Linked DNA regions of Notamacropus eugenii. The protein of the gene in region 2 purifies or fractionates together with the protein of the main gene of each other region. This does not show direct contact. Links are inferred from orthologs where the notes say so. Each region holds a gene or a part of one and is shown on either strand. Other genes may lie near its edges. The genes, in order: scaffold attachment factor B1-like, FUS, HNRNPC and SF3B1.

What was found.
Region 1: the proteins of FUS (region 2) and scaffold attachment factor B1-like purify together in Homo sapiens (affinity purification with mass spectrometry; 3 studies listed by BioGRID and IntAct, with this or other methods). This does not show direct contact. The link is inferred for Notamacropus eugenii from reciprocal best matches to the Homo sapiens genes FUS and SAFB.
Region 3: the proteins of FUS (region 2) and HNRNPC purify together in Homo sapiens (affinity purification with mass spectrometry; 3 studies listed by BioGRID and IntAct, with this or other methods). This does not show direct contact. The link is inferred for Notamacropus eugenii from reciprocal best matches to the Homo sapiens genes FUS and HNRNPC.
Region 4: the proteins of FUS (region 2) and SF3B1 purify together in Homo sapiens (affinity purification with mass spectrometry; 3 studies listed by BioGRID and IntAct, with this or other methods). This does not show direct contact. The link is inferred for Notamacropus eugenii from reciprocal best matches to the Homo sapiens genes FUS and SF3B1.

Annotation. Positions count from the first base shown.
Region 1 is NC_092875.1:73,567,774-73,575,637, forward strand, and holds the start of scaffold attachment factor B1-like, read left to right. Parts: upstream 1-4,859; 5' UTR 4,860-5,120; coding exon 5,121-5,306; intron 5,307-7,864. Other genes in the region: SAFB2 (scaffold attachment factor B2), read right to left, coding at 3,573-3,660, 4,385-4,690. UniProt on the Homo sapiens protein: Binds to scaffold/matrix attachment region (S/MAR) DNA and forms a molecular assembly point to allow the formation of a 'transcriptosomal' complex (consisting of SR proteins and RNA polymerase II) coupling transcription and RNA processing.
Region 2 is NC_092874.1:377,559,236-377,566,269, reverse strand, and holds the start of FUS (RNA-binding protein FUS), read left to right. Parts: upstream 1-4,015; 5' UTR 4,016-4,094; coding exon 4,095-4,107; intron 4,108-6,245; coding exon 6,246-6,270; intron 6,271-6,357; coding exon 6,358-6,512; intron 6,513-7,034. UniProt on the Homo sapiens protein: DNA/RNA-binding protein that plays a role in various cellular processes such as transcription regulation, RNA splicing, RNA transport, DNA repair and damage response. Binds to ssRNA containing the consensus sequence 5'-AGGUAA-3'.
Region 3 is NC_092878.1:12,640,067-12,647,040, forward strand, and holds the start of HNRNPC (heterogeneous nuclear ribonucleoproteins C1/C2), read left to right. Parts: upstream 1-3,953; 5' UTR 3,954-4,214; intron 4,215-6,974. UniProt on the Homo sapiens protein: Binds pre-mRNA and nucleates the assembly of 40S hnRNP particles. Interacts with poly-U tracts in the 3'-UTR or 5'-UTR of mRNA and modulates the stability and the level of translation of bound mRNA molecules. Single HNRNPC tetramers bind 230-240 nucleotides.
Region 4 is NC_092876.1:267,769,039-267,776,708, reverse strand, and holds the start of SF3B1 (splicing factor 3B subunit 1), read left to right. Parts: upstream 1-4,669; 5' UTR 4,670-4,787; coding exon 4,788-4,815; intron 4,816-7,670. UniProt on the Homo sapiens protein: Component of the 17S U2 SnRNP complex of the spliceosome, a large ribonucleoprotein complex that removes introns from transcribed pre-mRNAs.

The DNA.
Region 1 (7,864 bases), on a different chromosome or scaffold from region 2:
AATCCAAAAATGAAAAGTCCCAGGAATGTCACAGATAAAATTATGAATCCCCACATCAAATTTAAAAAAACAAAACAAAACAAAACACTGCAAGCGTCCTGAAAGAAGCAATTCAAGTACCAAGAAACCAGTCAGGATCACACAAGACCTGGTAGCCTCTACCATAAATGAGAGGAGATCTTGGAAAATTCCAAAAGGCTTACAAAGACTTACAAACAAAAATAACTTACCCTGCAAAGCTGAATATAATCTATAAGGGGGAAAAATGAACTACAGGGGTTTCAAGCCTTTCTGATAGAAAGACCAGAGGTAAGAAATTACTTTGAAATACAAACACAAGAAAAATGCCAATACTACCTAAATTAATTTACTTATTCAACACCAAACCAAACTATCAAAGCATCATTTTGTAAAACTAAAAAAAAAAAAAAACTCCAAAATTTATGTGGAGGATCAATAGGTTTAAGAATCTCAAGGCAATTTTTTAAAAAGTGAAAAGGAAGCCCAGAAGTACCAGATTCTGAAATTTATAAAAAAATCGTTAATCATCAAAACAATTTTACACTCATTTAAAAATAGAGAGGCTGACCAGTGAAACACATATGGCAGACAACATGCCAAAGTAAACTACCTTAATAGCCTTGTGTTGGATAAATCCAAAGACCCTCCCCAGGTACTGGGATAAGGTCTAGTTGACACAAAAGTTCTAAGAAATCTGGATAAGAGTCTAACAAAAATTAGGTTTAGACCAACATCTTAAATCATATATCAAGATAAGCTCCAAATGAATATACAAGTTAGCTATAAAAGGTGACATTACAAACGAATTAGAACAAGGAAAAAAATTACCTTTCAGATCTATGACAAAGGATAGACAATCACGTAAGATAAAATGGACAATTTTGTTTGATTACATAAAACTACACTTTTGCACAAACAAATCCAATGCAACTGAGATTAGAAAGGAAACAGTTAACTGTGGGGGAAAAACCATTGCAACAAATTTTCTCTGATAAAGACCTCATTTATAAAATATATAAGGAATGATTCAAATCTATAATAGCTATCTGCCCACTGATAATAGCCAAAGGATATTAATATGCTATTCTCAAGTTATCTATAGCCATGAGAAAATGCTACATATCATTAATAATTAGAGAAATGCAAATTAAAGAAACTCTGAGGCCCCAGTTCTCACCCATCAGATTAGTAAAGTAGACAAAAAAGTTAACTGACACGTGGGAGGGAAAACAGGAATACCAAAAATACACTATTGATGGAGCAGTGAACTGGTCTAGCTATTCATGAAAGCAATCTGAAATTATGCCAAAAAGTTATTAAATTGCGAATATCCCATCTGACTCAGTTATACCACTATTGGGTCAATACCCCAAAGAGACCAAACAAAGAGAAAAAGGACTCATGTACAAAAATATTTACAGCAGCTTTTTATGTTGTAGGAAAGAACTAATGCAGAGTGAAGTGATACAAATCAGAAGGATAACTTATAAAATAACTGTAACACTGTAAAGACAACAACTTTGAAAGACTTGAGAACTCTATCAATGGGTACCCACAATTCTAGAAGACTCATGATGAAAACATGCTGCCCACCTCCTAACAAAGTGGCGAACAATTTCAGGGTGCAGAAGGAGATCTATATTTCATGGACTCAGCCAATGAAACAATTTTCCCTAACTATTCATATTTGTTCGAAGGGTTGTTTTTCTTTATTTTGCAGTGGAAGGGGGGAGATGGGTAAAGAAAAAAAAATAATGCTTGATAACTGAAATATAAGCTTTGGGAAATACTTATTTTGTTTGGAGAGTTTTAAAAGGGGAAAGAAAAGGTGTAAGAAATATAACAATGGAGAGAGATGGGGGTGAGACATGAGAAGAGTATAAAAACTTGGAGAAAGGAGTGGAGGGAGCAGGTATCTGATGAAGCTCACTCATATGACATGGATAAAGTAGGGCTGAATGTACACACACCATTTGGTGTAGAAATACATCAAACTCAACAGAGAAACAAGCAAAGATGGGGGTAGGGATAGAGGGTTAAGAGGGAAGATAATACCAAGAGGAGAACACCCACAGGGAAACAGACTTTTTGACAGTGAAGTATAGGGGGAAGGAAGGTGGATTAAAAGTATGGGAAAAAAGAACTACAATCTAAGAAGATACCCATCAATGACAGAACAAATTACAGTGTATGAATGTAATGGAACAATATTTCATCATAGGAAATGACAAAAAAGATAAACGCAGAAAATCTTAGGGGTAGTATAAAAAATGTAAAGTGAACAGAACCAGAACAATTCATACAAGGACAACAATACCATAAAAAACAAACAAACAAAAAAAAAACAACTTTGGTCATTGTATTGACTAGAGTTCTTGTCTTTCAATCAGTTTTCCAGTGTACATATACATGAAGAAGTGTTACCTACCTAATGACTCCTGAGGTAAGTGATTCAAAGTACAGGAGGAGGCATAGCTACCATGGTGATCATTTGCTTGACTATTCTTATTTGTAACAAGGATTTTTTCCCCCCTCAGTTTTTAATTGAGGAAAAAGGAGTTGAGCAGATAGGTTGTTAAAAATAATGTCCAAAAACACCCCACAAAACAATGTGGCGACTGAAACAATGTTTAAAATGCACAGGAAGGAACAGAAAAATGCTTAGAAGGAAGCACAAAAAGAACAGTTTTGAAAATAACCAAGTATTTCAGTTTTTTTAAAGCAGCATGGAGATTGTTTCATATACAATTCTCTTATGTTCTTCAAAGCATATAGAAATATTCCCTTTTTAATACTTAAGTTCAGAATAAAAATAAGAAATATAGATCAAAAGAAGAAAAAACAGTACCACCTCAGCTAAAAATGTTACCAAGGAAAGCGATAATAGTAGGATATATTTATATGATACATCTCTGACAGGAAAACTTAAAATTTGTACACAATGTAACAGAAGTGCTCATATCAAAATAATCACAATATGCTAGCCTCCTCAGGTCCATCAGTCCTAAAATGGATCAAAATTTGGGAAGGAAAAGGAACATGAACAGTATTTTTTGATGATCAAAAGTATTTGTTAAGTGTTCTCATAGATATGTTATTTTCATAGGACCCGTTCATTCATATCGACATGCCGACTAAAATGTCTTTCTTCCTACAAAGACTGACCTCTGAGCTTCCTCATTTGAAAATTAGGCAATACAAATTCCACTTTCCCCAACTATCTCAAAGATATGGTTGAGATCAAATGAGATAATACAGGTCAAAGTACTTAATTTTTTATTTAAAAGCCACATGAAGATGAAAACTGTTATGACCATTATCAAGAGTATAATTATTAAAGCAAAGTGGGAGTAAGTACACTGGTTCTGCGATAAGCCCGTGGGCATCTGAAAGCACCTGCTTGGCTCTCTGCCTAGTTCACCTAAGTGCTCACCTAAGCTCACTGTTTAAAAACGTAAAAACCAAAACTACGTTAACCTAACGAAAACAGAAAAGGTGTTCTCTGCCTTCTCCAGTCCACCAAAACCTCTGCCCCGAGCTCGTGCACATACCTTTGATATACCTCTTTGGGATTTTCTTGCTGGCAGCCTCTGATGCAATCTCAATGTCATCAGGATCGCCCCCTTCGTCCTCAATAGCCTATTAAGATATCAGTTTCAGGGGAGCTTGTTAGGTGCATGACGTCATGTGCTTTACTGGTCATAAACTTTCGCTGCAATAAACGCTCAGTTCCCTCACTCTCGTTAGGCTACTCCGGCCGGGCAACAAGCCCAGAAGTCAGGCTCGAGTGAACTTCACTATCACATGGCGACATGGCTCGTACGGCTGGAAGCGCAGCCTTAGGCTTCTGAAGGGGCCCGGACCCAAGCCCAGGCCGGCCATTTCTACGCGCTGCGAGGATTTACCCATTTTGGGAAAGTTTCGCAGACACCAACAGGTTGCTGGAACTTTGTACCGGGGGAGAGGAGGGTGCGGAGCGGGGCCAAAGGTCACAGGGTCGCGGCTCGGGGCAGAATAACCAGAGGACGGCCCGCGGCCGGAGCCAGGACGGGAAGGACTTCCTCTCTCGGCCTCTGCCCCCCGCCGGACACCCCCTTCCCAGGAGCTCGGGGCCGCTCCAGCGCGCCCGTTCCCAAGGTTTTTTCCGGCGGGGTGGGGTGAGCAAGTGGACCAGGGCTGGAGCGGAGGGGAGCGGGCCGCGGAGCAAGGGGTGCCCCGAGCCGAGCCACAGGCGCGCACCTCCCCTTAGCCCAGACTCAAATACGCGTGCGCGGCGACAAGCTAACGCGCTGGTCTCCCTCGCTCCTCCACCCGCCCCCTCCACACCGAGTGCCGGGGCCCCGGATGTGCCCCGGTCCCTCACCTTCTTGAGTCGGTCCATCAGGACGCTCTTGTTGCCGCCGGTATCCAGGTTCCGCTTCCTCAGCTCGGCCCGGAGGTCGATCACTCGCAGATCACTTAGCCGCCGGGTCCCGGTCTCCGAAGAGGCGGAGCCGAGACCCGCCGGGCCAGATCCCGAATCGCCCGCCCCTGACAGAGCCTCTGCCATCCTGGGTGCCCTGTCTTCGCTGCCCACCTCACACACAGCAGTGGCTGCGGCAGTTCCGAACACAAAATGGCGCCGTTTGCGAGAAAAACGCACTAGCCTGCCTCCTTTCCGGTTACGCATGCGCGCCAACCGACTTGGCTTTTTTCCACCACCCCCTCCTCGGAGGGAGTTTGCCCATGCGTGCTGTAGGATCCCACGCAGTCACCCCCGTGATCCACAGTCGTATCCAGGGCTCCTCCCACTCTAACTGGTGCTGCGCATGTGCTCTATTAGTTGAGGGCGGGAGTTTGCTTGGGTTTTGAGCGCCTGCGCATCTAGACAGTGAAGCTCCTTACTTCCCTCCTTCCTGGTGACGGAGGGATTTGGCGCATGCGCCTGGAGGAGGGGGCAGCCTCCCGAAAAAAAAGACCACCTTCTCGGCGCGCGCGCAGTGACGCCACGGGTGGGGGAGGCTGGTGCCGCTCCCTCGCAGGCGGCGCCATTTTGTGTTCCTAGCTGTGGCAGTCGCCCGAATCGTGCGAGTTGGGCAGCGGAGGTAGGACCCTTCGGGATGGCGGAGATTTTGTCAGGCGCAGGCGATTCCAGTTCTGTCACTGCAGGGCTCAGCTCCGCCTCCTCAGAGACCGGGACCCGGCGGTTAAGCGATCTGCGGGTGATTGACCTCCGGGCCGAGCTGAAGAAGCGGAACCTGGATAGCGGCGGCAACAAGAGCGTCTTGATGGACCGACTCAAGAAGGTGGAGCCTTCTGGGGCCTAGTCGTGTGTGAGGGTCGGGAGAACGGATGGGGGAGGGGGGCTGGGGGAGGGGGGGTTGAGAGAGTGGCCGGGTCGCCATAGCCGCGGGCCTCGCCGCGCAGGCGCGCGGGGGGCTGGGCGGGCCCTCGAGCTCCCCCGCCGTCGCGCCCTCCTGGCTGTCCCCGCCCCCGGCCGCAGAGCTCCGCGCGCCCCGCCCCGCACGTCCCGAGGCTGGGCTCCCTGGGTGGATTTCTGGGGGCCGGTGGAACTTGGATGTGGGGGGGATGGGAGGGAGGAGGAGTCACGTCTCGATATCGACTTCCTTGGGTTCCCCAGGAAGGAGAGACGACCTGCGGCTTGTTGGGGTTTTTATCACCGATCTGGGGCGGGATGGCTTGGAGGCAGCTCTAGGGTGCCCAGCTTGGGTTAGTCAGGTTATTATTAAGCCGAGTGCTGTGGGAAGATGGGGGGCGGGGAGAAACGACGAAGTCGGGCTCCTGGAGGAGGGGGGGCTTGAAGAAGGCAGGGGTCATCCCAGGACTTGGGGACAGGGTGAGCAGAGATCCTTGATGGAGGAGAACGTTGGAGGCGATCTAGACGGCCAGGGCCTGCTCGGATTTGGTCTTGGCCTTCCTCCATCCTAGCAATGCATATACTTGGTAGATGACACTTAATAAAATGTTTGTTGAACTGAATCTCATTTTACAGGTGAGGAAATTGAGACCCAGAGAGGTAAAGTAGCTTCCTAAGGTCACACAGCTAGTAAGTAGACCTACAGTATCAACTCTAGTCTTACCTTAGTGCCAAATTGTATACTGCGCTGCCTTGCCTCCAGAGGCTTGAGAGCCCGGATTTTTGTGTACTGTGGACAAAGTGATCCAGTATGGCTGGAGCAGAGAGCTCATAGGAAGGAGTAACTCCGTGAGAGGAAGGAGTGGAGCCAGACACCTTTTATGGTTTCAAGAGCTTTTTTCATACATTGTCTCCTGTCTGTCTTTCAGCCATTCAATGAAAAATCATTTCTGAACCCTTACCATTCCATTGATTAATATAAGCATTAAATGCCACCTAGGTGCCAGATACTGATAGGCACGGGGAATTCAAAAACAAAATAGTCTTTGCGTTCTAGAAGCTTAAATTCTATTGGTGACAGTGAGATACAACATGTACGGAGATAATAGATGACACAAAGTGTTCTGTGCACTGAATAGCCAGTAGGGCTCGCTGGACTTTGAGATTGAGATAATTTCCTCATCTCTGTTTAAGTGGTTTAATAAAAGGGAGACACTGACTTTGCCTTCTATATGTAACAGTTTATGGTGAGAGACAAGTAGTGGGGTGGAACCATCCCAGGAAGGTGAGACAATGTTGTCCTCATTTGAAAAATAAAGAAGCAGAAACTGAAGTCATCCAGTTTACTCTAGGATGAAGGAGGCATCTAAGGTGGGAGATGAAGTAGATAGATAAAAGTTATGTGACAGCTCATTTCAGAAGTTCAAGAAATATTATGCTCTTTACACAAATTAGACCATATCTTACAAACAAAACATCTAGTTAATTTTTTGTGACTTCTTTTTCCTCTTCAAGGTCTTTTATGTAACCTTATTTCACATGAAAAAAATGGGTACAATGCTCCAGCTTTTAAGGTGGGGATGAATTTCCCCACATCTTGTCTCAGGTGCTATCCAGTCAGTCCACCATTCAATTCTTCTTTATGTTGATTTATGTTTTGTTTTTTAAAGTTGGGCCTATTCGGCTGATCCACTTGCTTGCTTCTCAGGAGGAGATATGGATGCTTCAGACTGTTTTCAGTGTAAACCTAGCACTGAGAAAAGTTGATGTTTTCAGTTCATTTCAGTTTGTACTTAAGCATGAGCTAGGCACTGGAGACGCAAAGTCAAATAATGATAGCTTGACACTCATTTAGCACTTTAAAATTTGTAAAGTGCCTTAAATACATCCTCTCCTTTGAGCCTCAAGGAGGTAAATACTGTTGGCATTATTATTCACATTTTACTGATTAAAAAACTTTATCTGGGAGAAATTAAGTCATGTTGGTAAATGTCAGAGATGAGATTTAAACCTCGATGACTCCTGGCTCTTGATTTCAACACTTCTCACTGTGGTATACTTCATCTTCAAAACAAGTCTTTGCCCTCAAGGTTATGCAGTCAACTTTCACTTAGTTTCTAGATTATGATGCACTTAACCCTTTTCCCAAATTCAGTACTACAGGCAGTAAGCTAGTTTTTCCTTCTGTTTAAGTTTTGAATGACTTGAAACTAGCCAATTACAAATTACTATGGTTCCATGATAAATAATATAGTTATCTGCAATTTTACCCATAAAAGAAAAGAAAATAATGAAATGGGATTTCACTGTCATTAAAATTTAGGTGACAAAATCAGATCTCTGCCATAGATTGAACATTTCCCTTATTTTCTACATCACACAATATGAGAGTTGGAAGAGGCCACATCTTTCCCAAGCCCTAAATGAAAGAATTATGTATTATAATATATCTTACAACATGGTTTACCTGGCTCTGGTAGAAGACTT
Region 2 (7,034 bases):
CATAAATGCTTCCCTGTCACATGGAGATATAATCTTTCTCCCCTCTTTGCACCACCTCAGTCTCTAGGGAAGGGAAGAAGTTTAGGTTCATGGATTCCCGTAGAATACAGTTTCTGTTTCAAGTCCACAGCTCCTCTCAGACTGGAGTCCCAGGCATCCTGGTTTCTCAGAGCTTCCATGCTAGCCTGGCTGCCTGCACTACCCTACTTGTAATCCTCACTCCAAGATCTCTATGGCTGGAACTACTGGTCCAGTGGGGCTAAAGATGGAAGAGAAGAGAGTGACCAGCTCAATGTCACCAGTTTTAAAGATGTAGGTAGCCAAGGACTTCCCTAGGGAAATTGGGCCTGCTCAACATCCTTGTTACACCTGATTCAATTATAATGATAATACACAATTTCAGTACTTAAGGGTTTTACAAAGCATTTTCTTTTTTTTTTGCATTTTCTTTTTTATTTTTTCTGTTATATATATTGATATCTTTTCTAAAATTTATTTAAGTTTTCAACATTCATTTCCACAAAATTTTCAGTTCCATATTTTCTCCCCATCTCTCCCCTCCCCCACCTCATAATGCCTTGCATTCTGATTGCCCCTTCCACCAATGTGCCCTCCCTTCTAACACCCCTCCCTTCCCTTATCCCCATCTTCTCTCTTGTCCTGTAGAGCAAGATAAATTTCTATACCGCTTTACCTGTATTTCTTATTTCCCAGTTGCATGCAAAAACAATACACAACATTTGTTCCTAAAACTTTGAGTTCCAACTTCTCTCCCTTCTTCCCTCCCCACCCATCCCCACTGAGAAGGCAATCAATTCAATATAGGCTATATATGTCTAGTTTTGCAAATGACTTCCATAATAGTCATGTTGTGTAAGACTGACTATATTTCCCTCCATTTCTGCCCCTGCCCCCCATTTCTTCTATTCTCTCTTTTGATCTTGTCCCTTCCCAAGAGTGTTTACTTCTAATTGCTCCCTCCTCCCATTTGCCCTCCCTTCCATCATCCCCCTCACCCTGCTTATCCCCTTCTCTCCTACTTTCCTGTAGTATAGGATACAAAGCATTTTCTTTACAAAATGTTATGAGTTAGGCAGTATATTAGCTCCATTGTATAGCTGAGGGAAACAGACATAAAGTCTGATTTGTCCATGGTCCAAGATGGGCCTTGAACTTGAACTGACTCTAAGAGTGCTCTTTATTACAATAGTATGCTGTCTGTCGTCCTTATATAACCTTTAGAGCTCTAGTCTTTGATCAGGTACTTTTGTTGACATATAATTATATGTGTAACATAGATAAACCTGGAATCTATGCTTGTTTTATCTTCCCATTAGATTTTCAAGTTCCTCCAAGGCAAGAATAGTATCCATCTGATCTAATCAGGCTCCACTGATTTTCTTTCTTTTAAAATATTTTTGGTGCTCTTTTTCCCTATTATGACTTTTCCTGCTCCAAAAGAAAACCTTCTTACAACTAAGTATAATCAAGTAGATCACTACATTGGTTTTCTCTAAAGGGTATGCCTCATTCTATACCTATAATCCACTGCCTCTCTCTTTTCTTTGCTGCCTCTTCCACATTTTGGTCAGCAGCCTTCTTACCCTGAAAATACCTCTGTCCCTCTGGTCCTTCATCTGACTGGTGAGGTCTTTCACATGGAGCTAAGTTCTGCTGAGGGACTCTCTGGTCCCTCATACCCCTGGAATGGCAACCTTCTCACTGAGAAGATGCTTCTTCCTCTGGAGCTCCTCTTCTATTCACGATTCCCTTCTCAAGACTAGGAATTCTCCAGACCATCCACAGTTACATCAATTCTATCTTGGCTTAGTGCCTGACCCGCCTGACTTTTCCACCTTAGCCTCACGTAGGGATGTATCCTGTTGGTGCCCCCTTCCCCTATTTCCAACCCCCTTTTTTATGTTATCTTCCCCCTTTAGAATGTAAGCACATTTAGGGTAGGGGCTGCCATTTTGGGGCTTCTATTTTTATTTCCAATGCTTAGTGTAAGTGTTTAACTTTATCTATCTTCTATCTATCTATTCCTTATTAGCCTTCTGAAGTCAAGATTGTTTTATTGATGAGAGAATTCTGAAGTCTTTAAGTGTAATTTATTTATTTTGGTTATTACAGAATTCTTACTTTGTTCTGAATATGTTTTCACATTCTTAAATTTCTTTGAATTCTTCATATTCATCATTTTCAATGGTAAAATAATTTCATTATGTTTAAAAACCACACTTTTTTCAGCCACTTCCAAAACTGACAGGCACGAAATTTGTTTCTGACAAGTACTCCAATAAAACACTCTGTCATATAAATAGGTGGGACCTTTCCCTCTGGTTTTGATCTCGTTGGGGGTATATTTCAGTAGAAGTATTACTGTGTCAAAGGGTATACAGTTAATGATTTTGGGGGTATAATCCCGCATCGTTTGCCAAGTTCATGGGCCAGTTCATGGGCACATCTGCCTTTTCATAGCCCCTTCACCATTCACTATTTTTCTTTTTTCTCGTCTTTGTCAATCTGACAGCTACAATAAAATCAAGGCTATCTTGGACTGGTGAAGGCTGGCCTCCCTGCGGACTTTCCTTTCCTGCCTCCACTTGCAGGTCACCCTCTCTGTGCGTGTTGTGCACTCGAGTGGACACAGTGAAGGAGCAGGTTAGCAAGCACACGATCCTAGAATCCACCCTTGGGTCTTGTGATGTCCGAGCTGAGGAATCCTCAGAGATCATCTGGGCCAGGGTCTGCCTGCAACTAAGAGAGCTAAGAAATCTCGTTTTTTCAAATAAATTCTTTCTCCTTCTCCTTCCCAAACCCCTTGTAACAAAGAATAAAAGAAAACAAGGCTCAGCCCTCTCCCACAAGGGAGGACACATGGGCTCAGGGGGGGCACAGTTCCGCTTCCTCAGGGTACATCTCAAACCAGGCTCAGGTAAGGCTCATCTTTAGGATCTTCCCCACATGTAGATAACGAGCTTTCCTCTAAGAAACATGATCCACGTACAGAGATTATTAAAAGACTATTTCTTTCACCACAGGAAGTGCTTAAGACACGAAAGAACGAACAGGCCCCTGTGGATAGATACAACATCTCAGCCAGCTCAGCCTACCCAAGAAAACGTGCCCTGGAGTCCCAGCGGTTACAGAGCGGGGAACCGTCTGTGCAGGGTCGTCACAGAGGCTGGGAGCGGCGTGGGGGAGGGGAGGGCCTTCGGAACGTGCTCTCCGGCCTGGTCCGCACGAACCTCTTCTCCAGTCTGAATAACGGACACGGCAATAAACCTAAGCCCGTCTGCAGCGTCTGCCAGAGGCCGAGGCGTAAACGCTCACACCGAAAAAGGAACCGCTGGGGCTGGCTCCAGTACACTGCTGCCCGGCAGGGGGCTCCCGGGGGAGGGGGGGGAAGGGGAGCATTACGGCGGGAACTGAGGGGTTACCAGGCTGGATTACGGGGGGAACTGTGTGTGTATGGGGGCCGGAGGCGGGCCAGGCCCCCCGGCCTCCATTGTAACCACAGTGCAGCAGCTCCTCGCCTCCCGCTCCCGGAGGAGGCGACGGGTGGAGGGGAGAGGAGGGGGGGGAGGACTGGCCAACTCCTCCGCTCCAGCCACCGGGCTCCGGAACAGAGCCTGACTTCCTCCCCCTCAATCACCACCAATGGTTCGTTCTCGTACGGCCGTCACCCCTCCCCCTTCACCTCCCCTTCCTTTCTTTTCCTGCCTTTGCTTCAAAGCGTACCATTTTTCTATCCGTAGGGGGAGGCTACAGGTTTTCTGATTAGAATGAAACAATATTACCTCTATGCCCAGCGTAGACAAAATGGGCAAATAAAAAGTTTCCTATAGTCTATATTTTTCATCTCTTTGTGTAGATCACCTCTCAAAATTCCCTAAGTTTGCGTTCGTCCCGTTACATTTCTGCCCGCCCCCATGTCCTAGACTTGGTACAGCCCTCTGCGGTGCGTAGGAGGAGGGGGAGGAGTACATAAGTTTCAGCGCAGGGGGTGGGGTTTTTCAGTCCTCGAGGCGTCGGCGGTCGGCTGCCTTCTATTTTCTGTTGCTCGGCAGCCGGTGTGCGCGTGCGCGGACATGGCCTCCAACGGTAAGAGCTCGTGGGGGAGGTGAGCCGATCCCTGATCGCCTCGCGCGACGGTTGGGTTAGCATTCGGAGCGGCCTGGAGCCCTTTTTGGGGGCCTGGAGTCGGGAGGGAAGGTAGTATGGTTGGATGGGTTGTGGCCGTGTCTGGGAGGAAGGGTCTCATTCTCGCGCGGTCTAGGCGGGAAGTAAGCGGAGGGCGGTAGGCGGGGAGAAGGGAGGCCGCTGTCGCCATCTTGTCCCGTGGTTCTGGCGCGTTAGTGTAGAAGAGCTGACTGGTAGAAGGGCTTTTTTGTGGTATCCTCTTTTTTTGAGAACGAAGCCCCCGGCGGCCTAGGTAGTAGGAGCATAAAGCAGCCGAGGGGAATAACGTTCAGCGCCTTCTCCCGCTGCGAGCTTTTCTCTGCCCGCTTTGTCGCAGTGCCGCATCCGGGCGACTTTGGTGCGCACGCGCGTGGGATCCACGCCCTGCCCGGGAGCGGAGGCCTGATCGGGGTGCGCGCGTCCCTCCCCCCAGGTTCTCAGCATCCCAGATTCTTCCTGGCTCCTCTGTAGACATCCCCCACTCAGCGTTCGCTCTCGCCCCCTTTTCCTGATTCTCTCCCACCTTACGGCCGAGGTTTTGCTCCCAAGGATGGACAGCCTGGCAGTCGGCCGGGAGAGGAGGTTTACCAGGACCCCTTCCCTCCTAGCCCGTTCACTAACGGCCCCGGGAGATCACTTTTGGTGCGTTGGGATTCAGGCCAACCTTCTTATGGAACTCCTTTGTTGAGCTTCTCTCCTTTAGCACTATGAAGGAAGGGTTGGGATTAGCTCTGTCTCCTTGAATGTAATTTCTCTTTATGAGTGGAAAGGGCCGTTTTTTGTTCTGAAAGAATCGGAATTCATGTTCTCTGCCCCAGCCGTCCTTGGGTAAGCAGGGTGATAATTCTGCTTCTGATGGGCATGACCCTTTAGCTTCCCTGGTTGTTGTAATTTGAGCCTTCCTGCAGCCCCGTGAAAAGTAGGGCAGGTAGTCATGACTACGAAGAGATTCAAGCAAGTAAGATTACTTAACCTCTGCCAAAGTCTGAGAAAGGGGCAGAACCCGGACAAAAAAACAAAACAAACGCCACGTTTCTTAATAAGAATGGAGGAAGACATCTGTCTACTTTGGTTATTTGGCTTTCATACTATTCTCCAAAAGAGCCTCAATCCCTTGAACTTAAAAAGGGGTGAGATTTCATGGAAGATGTTTATCTGAGGAGTTCAATACAATGAGACTTCTGGAATACCTCTCTGCTCCATTTCCTGCGAGTCCTTTTTGGGGAGGGAGGACGCCTAAAAAACTGCTTAGCCTTTCTCTGTCTTGGTCTTTATGGTCATATTTCTAACTGTTTGAGTTTTAGTCAGGAAACGTTGGGAATTCATTTTACGAAAATTTTCGTTGACCTTTTTTTGTTGTTTTCACATCCTTTTTATTTCCAAATTATCCTGATCTCATATCTCTACCCCAAACTATTTCTTATAAAAAAGAATAAAAATGGTACCAAAGGCAAGCTGGCAAAACCAATCAAACTCCCTTCCTCCTTGTCTCTCCCCTCCCCATCCCCTTTCAAATAGTAATTATCCTACCATGGATATTCATATCCACATAAACCTACAAAGGAAATTTCGATATATACTCATCTATTTTGGGAGGTATAGCTTGGTATTGTTTCCTGATCCGTTAGCCTTATTTTTAATCAGTTCACATGAATCCTCATGCTTCTCAGAATTCCTCATAGTCTTCATTTTTAGTCCATTTTTCTATGTTTTCACATATACATGAGAGAATGACTTTGGGATGTTTCAATGAATGTGACTTTGTAGACATTGGTGTCTATGGTGTTTTTCTTTAACTTCTTTGGGCTGTGTTTATCATTATCCTTCACGCTGATTTTTTTTTCTTTCTCCAGTCTTTTAGAATGAAAGAAAAATTTTTTTCCAGAAAATCCTCACTTCTATGAACTAGAATATTTAGCTTTATCCTTTTTGTGACACTGCTCCCTCTTTTTAAATTATGCTTTTTTGAGATTAAGCTTTTTGAAGCACATAGGTTTCTGTGTAGGGTTGGTGTATGTACATAAGAGTAATATAATTAAACTTTTTTTTTCCCCTTACAGATTACACTCAACAGGCCACACAAAGGTGAGTATGACATCAAAGGGAATACACTGGTGGCAAGATGTCCCTGTCCCAACTTTCATTTTTTTGATAATTATGTTCTTTTTATAGCTATGGAGCTTACCCTACCCAGCCTGGACAAGGCTATTCCCAACAAAGCAGTCAGCCCTATGGCCAACAGAGCTACAGTGGTTATGGCCAATCAGCTGATACCTCAGGCTATGGTCAGAGCAGCTATGGCTCCTCCTATGGACAAACCCAGAACAGTAAGTATTTGTCATCTTATTCTGGCTACCTTTTTAAAAACTACATTTGGAATCAGGATTTTAGATTTCAAAGGAATTCAGTTTAACAAACATACATTGAGACTTCTGAAATCTCCAAATCCTTTTGTTGCATATCTTCATTTTTTAAAATAAAATCTTTGTCTCATCCCTCCTTAAACCCCAGAATTTAATATGCTAGGACTTCCTTTTACTTTTAAAATGTATTATCCTATTATCCTTTTTTCACACCTCTCTCCCATTAAAAAATGCAAGTGAAAACAGATTTTTATTAGGTGCCCATCTACCCAAGTGGGTAGAGATTAATTTCTTTTAATTTAGATTTGATACTGCTTGAGAGTAAGTGGTTCCACTTTCAAGGAGCTTTTAACTTAGACAGCACTAACTCAGTACTTAAATGTGACACAAAGTGTAACTGACATTTTGAATAAGAGATGCTGCTAGTTGGTAAGATTGCAGAAAATAGGTTGAAATAAGAAGGAACTTAAAGGAATGTTAAAAAAA
Region 3 (6,974 bases), on a different chromosome or scaffold from region 2:
AAATGGCAGTGGTATGTAGTTTTGTCATTGTGTGGTATTTAGATATTCAAGCTCTATAGCTTATTAGCATGGACTCCCTCAAAGCTGTAACTAGGGTAGGAAGCTGGGGCTGTGTTCCTGGTGATCAATATTTAAAACAAGGGCTCTAAGCATAGGTTCTATGAATCTATTTTTAAAATTTCAATAACTGCGTTCACAACATAACTAATATAGTTTCTACTAGGTGATCGTAAGATGGGTTCCTCCTCACATTGGGCAAGAGAGGGTGGTCCACAGGTACAAAAATAAACTGGAGGACTTTCTATATCAAGCCAAAGCATCCCACCCATGCGGTTTGGTCACAGTAACTGAACAAAACAGGGTGCAGATACCCTCATTCTTATGCAAGCGAATTTTAAAACTAGTAAGTAAGTAGTGACCAGGGAATTTATAGGTTTTAAAGTTTGAGGCCTACTATACAGAAAAGAAAAATCTATCTTATCTACTTATCCTTATATTGTAAAATATGCATTAATATGTTATTCTTATACTAATATTAGTTGGGTAAACTGACTATATGTTTATTAGTAGATAAGTATATCCTTAATAATTGCTTATAATCATTGTCCCTGTAGAATCACCCTGATCAATACTGATTGAAATACAATTGAAATAAAATTGAAAAAAAATCCAATAAATCTTTCCACTCAGAACCCCTGATTTAGAGGGCACAAAAATATTAAAAAGACAAACTTAAAAGATTATACAATTTAAAATTTTCTTCCATGTTGATAGCCTTGTACACTTTTACCAGCGTAGAAATGACTGAACTTCTACTTGGTAAGACTAGTTAAAATAAGCTACCGTATCATTAACGTGAACCTTGTAATGAGTTATAATTTCCCGTCACAAATGAATTTTTCGTCTCATTATTTTTACATTAATTGCCAAATTGATGTAAGTAAACTTTTCTTGCTGCTTGTCCTGAGTGCCAGAATAGCTAGCTCTAGATTCCCTCTATATCTCTGATGTAAAAATGCTACTTCTTCAAAGCCCAGCTCAGGTGTTACCTTCTCTTCTGAGGTTTCCCTCATTACAATGGCTGGAAGTCATCCTTCCCTCTCTCTTACACACTTAATCATATTCTAATGTATATTATAGCTATCTGTGTACATATCTTATTCCAACTACTATGGTAGATTATTCAGTCACTGAGAACAGGATTTTGTGTTGTCATTCTTGAATTCCTAACACCTAGCATAGTACCATACAATTAATAGGCAGCAAAGTACAATGAAAAAATCAATGAACTTGGAGCTGTAGGACTTGAGTTCGAATGTTGACCCCGACATTTATTTCCCATGTGACCTCATCAAGTTACTTAATCTCTCTGGTCTCAATTTCCTTATATGTTAAATGAGGAGATTGAACTAGATGATCTTTTAAGATTCCTTCCAGGTCTAAGTCCACGGTTTTATGAACATTTAACAAATGTTTGTTGAACTGAAGGCAGGACTCTTCTCTTTTACGGTATTTCCTTTAGGATTCCTTATAGTATCTAGAACACAATCAATAATCAATTCTATCAAATAATTGCTAAAGAATTTTCTATAATCCTATGAAAACATTTTTCTTTCATTTTCTATAAAGGTGGCAGTTTTCTTTATAAAAACCTTTGTTACAACCTTGATATTCAATATCAACATAACTGATTAAACACACTGGGTAACAGTTCATATTTACTTTAATTTTAACCTATAAAATGTCCTAACCCTTTAATCGGATGCTCTATATTCAATCAGGATTCTTTGTCCATTTAGTCTCTTTTTTTTTCTCTTACACAGTTGTAGCAAGTGGTATTTTCATTCTTCTGGCTTTGTCTATTTACTTGATGTTATTTCATAAACTTTTCCATATATTTTTTATTCTTCATAGCTAGCTAAATGATGCAGCGGATAGATGCAGCTGGAGTCAGGAAGACTCTTGAGTTCAAATCAGACCTCACATATTATGAGCTACGTGACCCTGGGCAAGTCACTTAGCCTTTGTCTGCCTCAGTTTACCCCTCTGTAAAATGGGAAATAGCACCTACTCCTGGGGTTGTTGTAAGGATCTGTAAAGCGCTTTGTACAGTACCCGGTAAGCGCTACATACATGTTAGCTGCTTTTCTTATTAATCAGAAGAAATGCCATCTGCCAACTCCCCATGCTTCAGATGACTTCCTTCCTTCCTCCTGGTGCCTCCTGGTTTCCCTGGCTTCCTTCAAGTCCCAGCTAAAATGCTACTTTCTGCAAGAACTCTTTCCTGATCCTCCTTCACTCTAGTGCTCTCCCAGTGTTGATGATTTCCAACTTCTTTGGCTTGTATCCTGTGAGTACACAGTTGTTCCCATGAGCACCAGCCGTCTTCTGCCTTCTTTTGTATCCCCACTGCTCAGAACAGAGCGCAGAGCGGCTCTCAGCAAACATCCACTGGCTGTGACATCAGTGTGAAGGTGGCAGTTTCCATGAAGGACTTCCACACATCCAGGTATCTGTGCTTTGATCAGCGGGAGTGCCCCCATTCATCCTCCACACCTCAGCAGCCAGGTGATCCCGTGCTGGTCTTGGAGAGGGGCAGAAGACTCCACCTGGAGACAACTGATGGTCCTTGGACGAACCCAGGTGAATACAAAGCAGTCTTGGGGCCCTTCAGGGCCAAGCGCTGAGCGAGGCTTCACGGAAAACAGAAAACACGTTATTCGGCCCCCCACATTTGTCCTGGGGTGTGCGCGTTTTTTTCTTAACAAGATTCTTCTAGCACTTCTGGTGCCCCGTGGTACGCACCTGACGTCAGGGAGAGGATGACGTCAGGGAGAGGATGACGTCAGGGAGAGGATGACGTCAGGAGAGGATGATGTCAGGGAGAGGATGACGGCAGGGAGAGGATGACGGCAGGGAGAGGATGACGTCAGGGAGAGGATGACGGCAGGAGAGGATGACGGCAGGGAGAGGATGACATCACTCGCCCTTGACTTGGATCTGGGTGGGGGAGGGCTGTGCAGTCACCAGCCTCGCTTCTCCTCCCGAGCCATCTGGATGACTGGAGATGGCCCAGGATGCACCGGGAGACCCTGGCCCATTCAGGCTAAGGTCTAGAAGGCCCGACCTTTGCCCTGAGGGCATTGATAATTTGAGTGCTGCCCCCAATCACATGCAGAACCTCTGGGTATCTCAGCACAGTAACTTTGGAGAAGGGTGGGCCGTAGTCGGGGTGCTGGCACCTCGCCCCTGCGGGTGGGGTGGTCCAAGAAGGCACGTCAGAGGGAGGTACGGCCGGGGCAAAGGCCTCGGATCCTCGTCTGGGATTCCTCGTGGAGACCAGGGGCATGCGGGGGAGGGCCCTGAGCGGACGCACTGGCAATGTTATTACTTCGGCAGCTGTGAAATGGCAGGTTAAAGGCAGAGTGGGGAGCTGCGGGGGGCGCTCGTGGCGGTGGTGACAGGAGAAGGCCTTCCCCAGCCAGGCCTTCTTCGTACACACGCGGCCCTCTGGTTCTTCCCGCCACCTCGGGTTGGGCATCGGTGGGGAGGCGTGCGCACGTGGTGCAACGCGAGGCGCGGGGGAGGGGGAATGAAAGGGAAAAGCTCGGGCCCTGCTTCTCGTGGGCGTCTGTTAGCGCCGCGGGAATTCGGAGAACGGGGCGGGCCTTCGAACTCGCGCGCTGAGGGGGAAGGGGTCAGGAGGAGCTTCCGCGACCTCCAATCAGAGCTCGCTTGTAAAACTGGTGGTACCCGGATGTGAAGTCCTGCGCGGATACAAAGGCGAGTCTCTCTGTTGCCTCTTCGTTTCCTCCGTTGACCAATGAGCACCTTCTTGAGTTCAAATGACAACATCTACAGCCAATGAAAGGCCAGTTTCTCCCTCTGGTGCGGACTCACTGCCATTCTGACTAACCTACCCATGATTCCTATTGGACAGAGCTGTGACTGGCAGTCGAACGGTCTAATCGGGAGTAGGGACGGAGAGCAGCATTAGCCAATAGAAAGGCCTCTAGGAGTGGGGCGGAGGTCTCGGTTTTCGCGGTGTCGGTGGACGAGACGCGGGGGCCATTTTGTGAGGAGACGGAGACGGGGACGGAGAAGTAATAGTAGCGGTGGAAGAGGCTTGCGGGAGCGGGAGTCCGTTTCTTTGCCGCTGTCGGATCGGGGAGGCGGAGATTCAGAATCCACCCCTTTCTCCCTCTCCCCACCGGGTGAGTGGTGACAGTCAAGCCGGGGGAGACCCTGAGACCCTTGGGGGAAGGCAGGGCGGGGGAAGGGAACGTGGGGGAGAGGCGCAGAGCGCGTCCCTCCATGATAATAGCGCGGCCCAGACGGACTTCCTGGCGCGGCTTGAGTCTGAGGGTTGGGGGGAAAGGCTTCGAATGGGCCTCGACTCCATGGTGGGTGGACATAGTTCCGCAGGCCCCGCGAGCATGTGCCGCTGTGTAACGGCGCCCGCCTCCGTCTCCCCTCCCCCTGGGGTAACGGCCCACGGCCCCGGCGGAGCCCGCGAGATGTGGGCGGGGGGGGGTGAGCTCGTGGTGACGCCGATCCTTACTCAATGCTCTGGTCCCTAATTAAAGATCGGGAAGGGGGCGGGTTTCCCTGGAGATGCTCAGCGCCATCCGGGCCCCTTCCGTTCTGGGGGGGGCGGCGAGCGGCCGTCGCGAGTGTGCGTGGAGAACGATCCCAACCCGTCTGGCCGGTGGTGTGCCGTCCATGCACCCAGTCCCCGTGGCGGCTGCAGAATACTAACGTTCACTCTTTTTTCTCTCCTCCACGACAGAAAAGGTGGCTTTGGCAGTGTTGGCCCTAAATTGCGTTTGTGGGGAGCATAATTAACCCTAACGTAGCTGACTGACCGCTTTCTATCTGCAGGTTACAGTCATAGTTAGTGAAGCTTGGCTGGGAGGTAGGTATGGCCCTGCAGGCTCGCGGTGTGGATGGCCCAGAGGAGAAGTTAGACGGGTCAGGGATGAGGGTTTGTGAGAGTGCCGGCCCTCCGAGCGCTTGCCCGAGTCTCCTTCAGAGACCGCCGCCAGGCAGCCGGACACGTCCAAAGTGTACAGGAGATGGTCCAGACCTCAGATGACCGACATGACGGTTCTTGGGTTAGCTTACTGTTTGAAAATGGTAGCTGAAAATGGACAATTCTAATTTTTAATTAGGGTAAAATACAGTAGAGGAAATGGGGCCAGAAAATCCTTCACGGGAAGTCATACTGTTAGTTTTTAGGCACAGGGTAGCACATCTCTGCTGAATGCCCTCTAGTACTTACGTAGCGCCTCAGCGCTTGTAAAGTGATTCACATGTGTTATAATTGAGGGCAGGTAGGCGCTGTTAGTCCCGTTTTACAGGTAGGAAGCAGGTGAAGTGACGATCACGTAGTGGATGTCGGAGACAGAATTTGAACTCCCATTATCCTGATTTCAGGACCCGCAGTGCCCGCTGTGCCTTCCAGCTGCGTGTTATGGACGCTAATAAAAGGATCCTTTGTTCTACCAGATTAGCACAGAAAATAGTGGAGGAGGGCAAGGATTCCCAAACATTTGTGATTACATGGACTACACTGTTACAATAGGAAGTCTTTTATCAAAACATCCTCCGCAGGAACCTGATAATCTGGGTGTACTTGTTAAGAATGGTTAGTAAGAGAGGAAAATTTGAAGTGACCTGTAGTTCTGACTATGTGAATACTGGAGGGTCATTTTTGTATCCTTACAGCATCCTGAGTGCATATAATGAAGAGAATTCAGGTTAAACATTGCTGTGAGCGTGAGCGACTGGCCACAGACCTAGATCTAGATGCACTTTACAGTAGGGTGGGTAGAGGCAGCATTTCAATGTTGTGATAGCAGGCTAAGGGAAGAAATGAGCAAAGAAAGGTGCTGTGCGTACGTTGCTGGCATATTGTGCTCAACCTTTTCGCATCCTTTACATTTCTTTGCCACCTTAAAAGATCTTAAGAGTTCAAAGAGGCCAGCCTCCCACATTTCCAGATAAGGCAGTGGAAAAACATTTAGTATTTACATTATTTTACTCCTTCTAGTGATTGTTGACCTCCGTCATAGGTAAAAAAAGATTTAAGAACATAATCCTTGATTATAGTTCTTCTGTGTAGCCGTTATAATCAAAGCTTATAACAGAAGTTTGCATGACATGTGACCAGATTTTAGATCTAGTATCACATTGGAAGAATAAAAGAAAGTTTTAGGTCTTGATTTACTAAAAGAGTTACATGTACATTTTTCCTTGTGAAGTATTTTACTGTGAAGGAAAGGTTAGGAATTAACATATTCCGTGGGGAGGCAGTGTTGTACAAATAAAGAGCGCGGGATTGAGAGGCAGATGAGAAGAAAGTTGTAGTTACAGCTCAGCCACTAACTAGCTGTACGAGTTTGGTCATGTTATGATGAGCCTCCATTTATCTGAAATGAAGTTGGAATTAGTCTTTTACAGGTACAGTCTGTCTTTGAAAGGTCTTTATTATTTGAACAAAGGATTTAAAAAAGAGTGGATAAAGGTTCATATAATTGGTTTTCACAATTATAGCTACAACCAGTGGTAGATGAAGTTGCACCCATATCTTTGATAAAAATAAAGGGAGATTCATTTTCTCAGCTGTTCTCCAAGGGCAAGGTTGGTTTTTAGAAGCTTTTTGTTTGGGGTTTTTTAAATGAAATTGCCTAAAAAAACAAGTTGTAATTGAACAAGTGCCTTAAAAAATTCTCTTGAATAACTAGGCTATTTCAGTTAAATTTTTTAGGGATTTGTTTTTGAGATACAGTGTTGTTTGGTTATGCCTTTGTATTGTCATATTCTTATTTTATGTTGGAAATGTTGGGTGATAAGTTCTTTTGCCCAAGGTATAGAAATGGCTTTGGGGCAAGGTGGAACTCTATTGAAAGAAAACAAAACAACCAAAACCCCCTATTTGTGCTACTCTGGTGAACCACCTGATAGAATAAAAA
Region 4 (7,670 bases), on a different chromosome or scaffold from region 2:
TTCCAATTATGTCTATATTTCTGTGGTGTTTTATAACTGCATACATATCATTCCCATGTGTTTCTTTCTTATGTGTTGCACAGTTATTTTGAAAGGAATTTCCTTTTCTATCTTTTCCTGATGGATTTTATTGGTAGTATAAAGGCTGATAATTTTTGTGGCTTTATTTTATAACCTTTTGCTTTAATGAAACTATTGTTTCAGTTATCTTTAGCTGAATAATTAGGGCTCTTTATTAAACTGTATCATCTCTCTTTGCTTATGTTTATTTCTTTAATTTCTTTATGTTGTCTTATTGCTATAGCTAAAATTTATAGAACTAGGTCAAATTATAGTGGTGATAATGCAGTAGATATTCTTGCTTTATCCTAATCTTATTGGAAAGGCTTCTAGTATTTCTCTATTATAGATAATGCTTACTTTTGGTTTTAGAAAGATACTTTTTACTTCAATAAAGAATAGTCCATTTATTCTTTTGCTTTTGGATACTTTTAACAAAAAAGATCGTATTTTCTTAAAACGTTTTTTTCTGTGTCTATAATATCATGTATTCAAAAACATTTTTGTTACTAATATAGTGTATTATGTTTATAGTTTTCCTGATTTTGAACCAATCTTGCATTCTTGGTATAACTTCAACCTAGCCATAATGCATAGTACTTTTAATAGGTTACAGCCTCTTGGCTAACATTTTACTGAATATTTTTGCATCAATATTCATTAGATATTTTGGTTTATACATTTATTTCTCTGTTTTAATCTCTTCCTACTTTTGACAGCAAGATCCTATTAACAGAAGGGATTGTTGGGATGCCATCTTGTCTGATTTCTGCAAACAATTTATAGAATATAGTTGTTTGAATGTTTGATAGAATTCACTTACAATACTATATAATCCTAGTATTTTTTCCTTTAGAAGTTCCTTTGTGACTTTTCAAATTTCTCCCCCCTCATTAGATTATTTAAATTTGCATTTCTTACATGGCTAATCTGTGTATTTTATATTTTTGTATAGAGTTGTCCAATTTATTAGTTATCTGTTAGCATATAATTTAGCAATATGGTTTCTGATAATTTTTTCCTCTTCATTCACTATAAAGTCTTTTTTTTCCCCATTTTTTTTTTATCATGGCAAAAAAGTTTTCTTCTCCCTTTTAAAGTTGCCAACAGTTTATCTGTTTTATTAGCTTTTTGGAAGAACCAATTCTAAAATACTTTTGTGATAGTAAACACCTGGAAATAAAATGAGCGCCCATCATTTGGGGAATGGCTGAATATATGTCTACTAATGTAATGGAATATCCCTGCATTGTAAAAAGTTGTAAAAGGGATGGATTCAGAGAAACCCGAAAAAACATATGCTGATGCAGAGTGAAGTAAGCAGAAAAGTAAAACATACATAATATGTGTGTATATGTATATATATGTGTGTGTGCATATATACATATATATTCTTTTGCTGTGCTTGTTAGTTACAAAGTTGTTTTTTTTTAAGAGAGAAGGGGAATTGAGAGAGTTTAAATAGAGAGAAGCCAAAGAAAGAAGTCAATGTAATATTTAAAAAAGAAAAAAGAAACAGGAGGTTCAGAAGGAGATGCAGATAAGTATAGCTTTGGAATTAACATAGAGGAAATGGAAGCTATATTTAATAGAGATGGGAGGTTTTGTGGACAATCCTTCTGTTATTCCTTGTATAAGGAAATATTCATATTTGTTGACGCTTCTCAAATTCAGATTAAGAAGATTTAAAAGATGTTATCACATTTAAAAGATTTTTTTAAAAAAGAAAAACCAATTCTTTATTATATTTCCTATTATTTAAATTTTTAGATTCAATCAGTGAGAACTAGTTGCATGGCCAGAATCTAGGAGTAGTTGTTAATGGTCTGGTACCATTTTAAACCATGAGAGCTTTCTTTTCTCACTAACCCTTAAATCTAGTGCTTCCCTTCTGTTGATTATTTCCAATTTATCTTGTATATAGTTTATTTGTATGTAGTTGTTTGCATGTTCTCTCCCCCAATGACTGAGATCCTTAACTGTCTTTTGCCTTTCTTTGTATCTCCACATAGGGTTGTATGGAACATTAACACTTCAGGTGTGAGGGCTTGCTGAGCTTTCATCAGGGCTGCTCCATCCACCTTGGTGTCCACTTGGTTCTCAATTTTCACCCATGACTTCAAGAAACTGTAGCACAAGCATTGGCCACACCCTTATAAACTATCTCAGCAGACGGACTAAACCAGATTGAGGGTAACTGTAGGGCCATAAACTCATTGGTGAGTTAGGTGGGTAGTTAGGTAGGGTGTAACAGCAAGGACCCTGACATACACAGGAGGGCCTGCTGTACAGGTTCTTAGTTCTGCTTTTTTAAAAGGAAAGCAACTTTTGAGGGGTCAACAATCACTTTAATCAAGCACATATTATCATTTACTTAGGTCAAGGGGAAAAGTCAGCACCCTGAACTTCAGAGAAAATACAAACAGAGAAACAAAGATCAACCAACAGACAGGGCTTCCTCAGATCTGACCATAAACAATATATACATCACAGATCCAACTGTCTGAACATACATACACAAACATAGTCACCAGAGGGAGAAGCACCAACATCTAGGTTTTCAAAGCTCTTGTCTGGCCAAATAAACACTTCTAATGAGTAAGTCCCAAAGTTAAACCTCACCTCAGTATTTATACACTTTTCAGACCTGGAGGACAGGACCCTCTGACCCAGTGCCTCAACAGAAATTAACAAAAGGTACTTGAGGCCTATTAATGGGCAGGGAAGATCTAAGTAACATTACAGGTTGTCTACCCCAAGCATGCGAAGACTTCCCCCAGTAGAAGGGTTGGATGAGAACAATTTGTTCGAAAGGCCATGAAGACAGCTAAAGCAAGTTATGGAGCACTCTGAGCTTGGTCAGACATTGACAACACTGATGTCATTCACTGTATCCAGATAAAAGTCAGTTGCCTTGACTTTTATCTTGCCAATGGACTTTGATGACTCTGGTAAAAAGAGTGAGGCTGAAGACTTTGTGCAACTCTGCCTTGCTTAAATCCAATTCAGGCGCAAGTCAAGACATCCCCCATGATGTCACTGGTCCTCTTCAAAAATTAAGGACAAACTACAATCTCCACAGTTAATAAATGTTAACTGTTATAATAATAATAAATGGTTAATAAATGTTGATTGACTGACTAATCTATGTGGGTTCTTACAAAAGGGGCATTTTATTCTACTTACATATCTTCAGCATCATTTCTGGTTCAGTAAGGTGTTTTTACTCAACTACCGGTTCCTACTGAACTTGAAGAGTAGTTGTTAACGATTCAATGTCAACGTGACAAGAGATCTCTAGAGCCAAGGACCCAGGGATCAGTGTTTGGCTTAGTGCTATTTAACATTTTATCAATGATTCAGATAAAGCCATTGATGAAATGTAATTCAATTTTTAGATAATATAGAGCTAGGAAGAGTTAACACCATACTGGAAAACAGTTAGGATCCAGAAAGATCTTGACAAGCTAGACCATTGTGTGTAATTTAATAATGTAAAATTTGATAGGGATAAATGTAAAGTCTTTTACTTGAGCACAAAAAAAGGCAACTTTGCAAGTACAAGGTAGGGGAATCAGCAGTTTTTTGGGGGGAAATATCTGAGAACTGTAGTGAACCACAACCTCAGTATGAAACAGCAGCCAAAATATTGCTGCCAAAAGAGGCAGTGTGCCTGGACTTCGTTAATGGAGGTATAGCGTCCAAGAATAAGGAAATTAAAGTTTGTTCCCCTCATATCTGTCTAGAGTAGTTCTGGCACTATGGGATAATTTTTTTGCATTTCTTGATCATCTTTTTGTTAGGATTTTACTTTAAAACTTTTTATATCGGTATCACTAATGATAATGGCTTATAGTTTGGTTTTTTTTTTTTTTGCTTTATCTCCCGAGTTTAGGCATAAAAGGAGTTTGATACAGTGTTTTCTTTCTGAATTTTCAAATTGTAGCGGAAAGGCTGAGTGTAAGACACAGAGAACTTCCTAACCTCATCTTGAGGTTGCAGATCAGAAACTCTTTCATATAATACTCCGAATGGGTGGCTTGGGGCATCTGAAGGTTAGACTGATTTAATCAAGTAGGATTATAGATTTAGAACTCGGATGGATCTTCAGGTTTATCGAGTTCAGACTTCTCGACCAACAAAAAACAGAAACGGAGGCTTTAAGCGGCTCAGCGCCTAGTCCCGAGCAGTGTCAGGGGCAGGATCTGCACTCAGACTTCTAAAGCCGAGACCGGCAGTCTTTGCCCCACCGAAGACGGGGTACCCCGGGTTAAGCACCGCAGGGAGTCCAGCTCAGGACAGGCAAGCTCCTTTCCTACAGGCTCTCGGGAGGGAGCAGATACCCGGGATGGAGAGAGAATTATGCAGAATGGCTTCGTTAGGACCTTACCCAGGCTGCTCCTCATTACGTAACGCCACAAGGCCGACCTTTCTTCCGCATAAAAGCCTTTCTAATCACAAGGATGTTACATGGCAGCCGACTTCAATCACTTCTGAAACCAACCTAGGACCGACCTCCGGGCTCCCTGCCCCTCCCACACCCACAATGCACCGGGCCGCTCCCCTCTTAGTGGTTCTCCTGTCACGTGACACATTTGCGCGCACTCCTCTTTTGGCGCCTGCGCCGAAGCACCGCCTCCCCTCCCCCGCTATTTTTCTCGGTGGCGGCGGCCACGAGCGGAAGTTCTGGGACGTACCAGTTCCGTCTGTGTGTTCGAGTGGACAAAATGGCGAAGATCGCCAAAACTCACGAAGGTAAGGAATGTTTCCCTGTCCTTGCTCGATCGCCTTTTCTCTTCTCTCAGGTTTCCGCGGTTCCATCTTCCCCTCGTCTCCTTGTTTCTCTCTTCTTTGGGGTCGAGGAGCCCAGCCGGCTCCTGCGGGGTTCGGGGTCGATTGGGCGGCGGCGCAGGCCGCGGTACAATGTAATGGCGTCCCACCCTCCCGCCCCCTCCCCCGACAGCGCTTTGTTTTGTGCTTCGGGCCGACGCTTCCCCTTGGCTTTCCTCGTGGGCCCGATGGGCTTCTTGGGAGCCCAGAGGATAAAGCCGCGGAGAAAGCGGTCGCGAAATCTCCTCAGTGGAGTGCGGGGCGAAGGCCCGTGCGCTGCTCTTCCTAACCCCCGGCCTGGTGGTGTTATGCTCGGACGAGACAGGGAGGGACTCCGCGGGGAGACTCCTCCGAGGCCCGTTACTCCTTGGCCCTGTGGAGCCACATGCCGGGCCCTCGGCGCCTTTGACTCATGTGCTTTTTAATACTAATCCGGTTTAATATTTAGATTTCTCTGGGTGAAGCGATTTGGAAACGTTCTTATTCCCTAACCTCCCCTCCTCCCCCGCTCCGTTATTCTTTTTAAATTAGGAAAGATGCTGTTTGACGTGAGGGAAGGGGAGAAGGGAGGTGGTTTCATTAATATAAAAAGCTTAGATATTTTTATTTTAAAATTGTTTTAACGTGGGGAGGATTGTGTTAGCAAATGAGTAGTATTTTAATTTACTAACCATGTCCCCACTCCGTTATTTTCTGACCAGGGAAGTGGATTTCTTTGTATACCCAGTACTTAATACAGTGGCTGGCACGTAGTAAGCGCTTAGCCTTGACTTGAACGTGGAACCCCATTTTGGGTTATCCAATTTTAGTAGTCACAAGAGACTTCCAAAGAATGTTAAGCCTGAGAATCCGAAATTAAAACTTGTAGCTAGACACTTTTTAAAAATCTTATGTAGTTCTATCTCCCATACTGTTTAAAAACCTTAACTGGTGGCGTTTTTCTTGTTTGTGAAAACTATTGTTGCTCCACTTGAATATTGGTACACAGAGGTCGGGTTAGGAAGCTGTTTCAGGCACTTCATCATAATCGCTTGTCAGAAGAAAGAATAAACGAACACAAATTTTCATTAAATTTGTAGATGACACAAAGTTGGAATGGGTGGCTAACTCACTGGGTAATAAGAAGATCCAAAAAAAATCTTTACTATTTTAGAAAACTTAGAGATAGAGCCTCGATTCTTATTTGTGTTGGATGGTTTGGTCTTGTCGCTGTTGTTTATGGTTTGCTTTTTAAAAGTGTTCTTTATTAAGATGTTTAAGGTGGCCATGGACAGAAACAGAAATTAAATTCAGAGCAGTCAGTTTTGCTTAGTTTTCAGAGCTCCTTTAAATGATTTGGTGGGTAGGATGGTGAAACCATTAATGTGAAGTAGTTTTTTTGAGTGTATTTTCATGATCTACTTAAGCAACTTGGCTGCCCCCCTACTGCTAGGGTCATCAAAAACGGCCTTTTGGTTTTTGTGATATTAGTGTTCAGAGATTATATTGTCTAATAAGTTCCTGAAGTGCACATGTATAATAAAAAAGACTAACATATTAAAAATTTGTCAGTTCAGCTTATTTTTTACTTAAAATTACTAGCTTTACCCGAAGTTTGTACCTTGTGTGTCTCCCTAATCACATTCCTCCCCCACCGACATAACCTTTATTGGTCGTTGGTATCACTTTCCATCATTATGCCACATTAACTCTGGTTCTTCAGTTTATTCAGTTCCATGATCTATCCCTCCAGTCTACTTAACCTCATGCAGAGATGGTCCTATCCTTTGCCTTTACCCACAACCATGTTCATGAACTCTGAAATTCCTTTGTGTAATAAAAACATTTTACTATTCCATTTTTCCTATGTCTTATGACCCGTATTCTTACTGTACCAGCACTGACTATACTTAAGTCCCTTTCCTAGCTTAACTCCTTGGAGGAACTAATTTAGCTTTATGCCATTCCAAACTTTGTTTCCCTACTACCGATCTCTTCACCTTGCCAAACCCAGCCTTGGATTATTCCCATCATCTGAGTGCATCACTTTTATTGATGTTTATTAATGCTACCTGATCACAACTGGCTCCTCATGGCAGCAGGGTAATCCTTTTTTACCTCCCTAATCATTCCAAACCTTTTCATCCCTCTTCAATCCTCCCATCACACCCCATCCCCATTCTCTTACCCTTTGACCTTACCTCTTTATCAAAGTAATTGAAGCCATTTTCTGAGAGCTCCCTTTTGTGTCCTCCTTATATCACTCAGATGTTTCTCTCCACTCTCTGCTTTAGGAGTTCTTTACCTTGGTTTCATAGATAGATTTCAGAGAGCCCACAAACTGTATGGGGGGAAAAATTATTTTCCCCTTATGTTTAGTTGCCTTTCTTTTTATCCCCAGCACTTAGGACAGTACTTGGCCAAAATATGCTCTCATAAATGGCTGTTGATTTTTCTTAACTGATCAGTGATAAATTTTAAAAAACATTCTGAGAATGGGTCCATAGGGTTCTCTCTCCAGACTGCCAAAGGGCTACATGACACAAAAAGGGTTAAGAGCTCCTGATGTCCTGTCTTCCCAGAAGATTGCCTCTATATTGTCATCTCCACTGTTTAATATTCAGTCTCTCTCTTCTCCACTTTCTCTTTTCCTGTTGCCTTCAAAGAGGACCATGTCCCTCCCATCCTTAAAAATCTTCACTTGGTCTTACTATCCATCCCCTCTCACTGTTACTCTGTCATTCTCCTCTTCATGGATAAATTCCATAAGGCCATCTATTCTTGGTGCTTCTTTCTCTTCT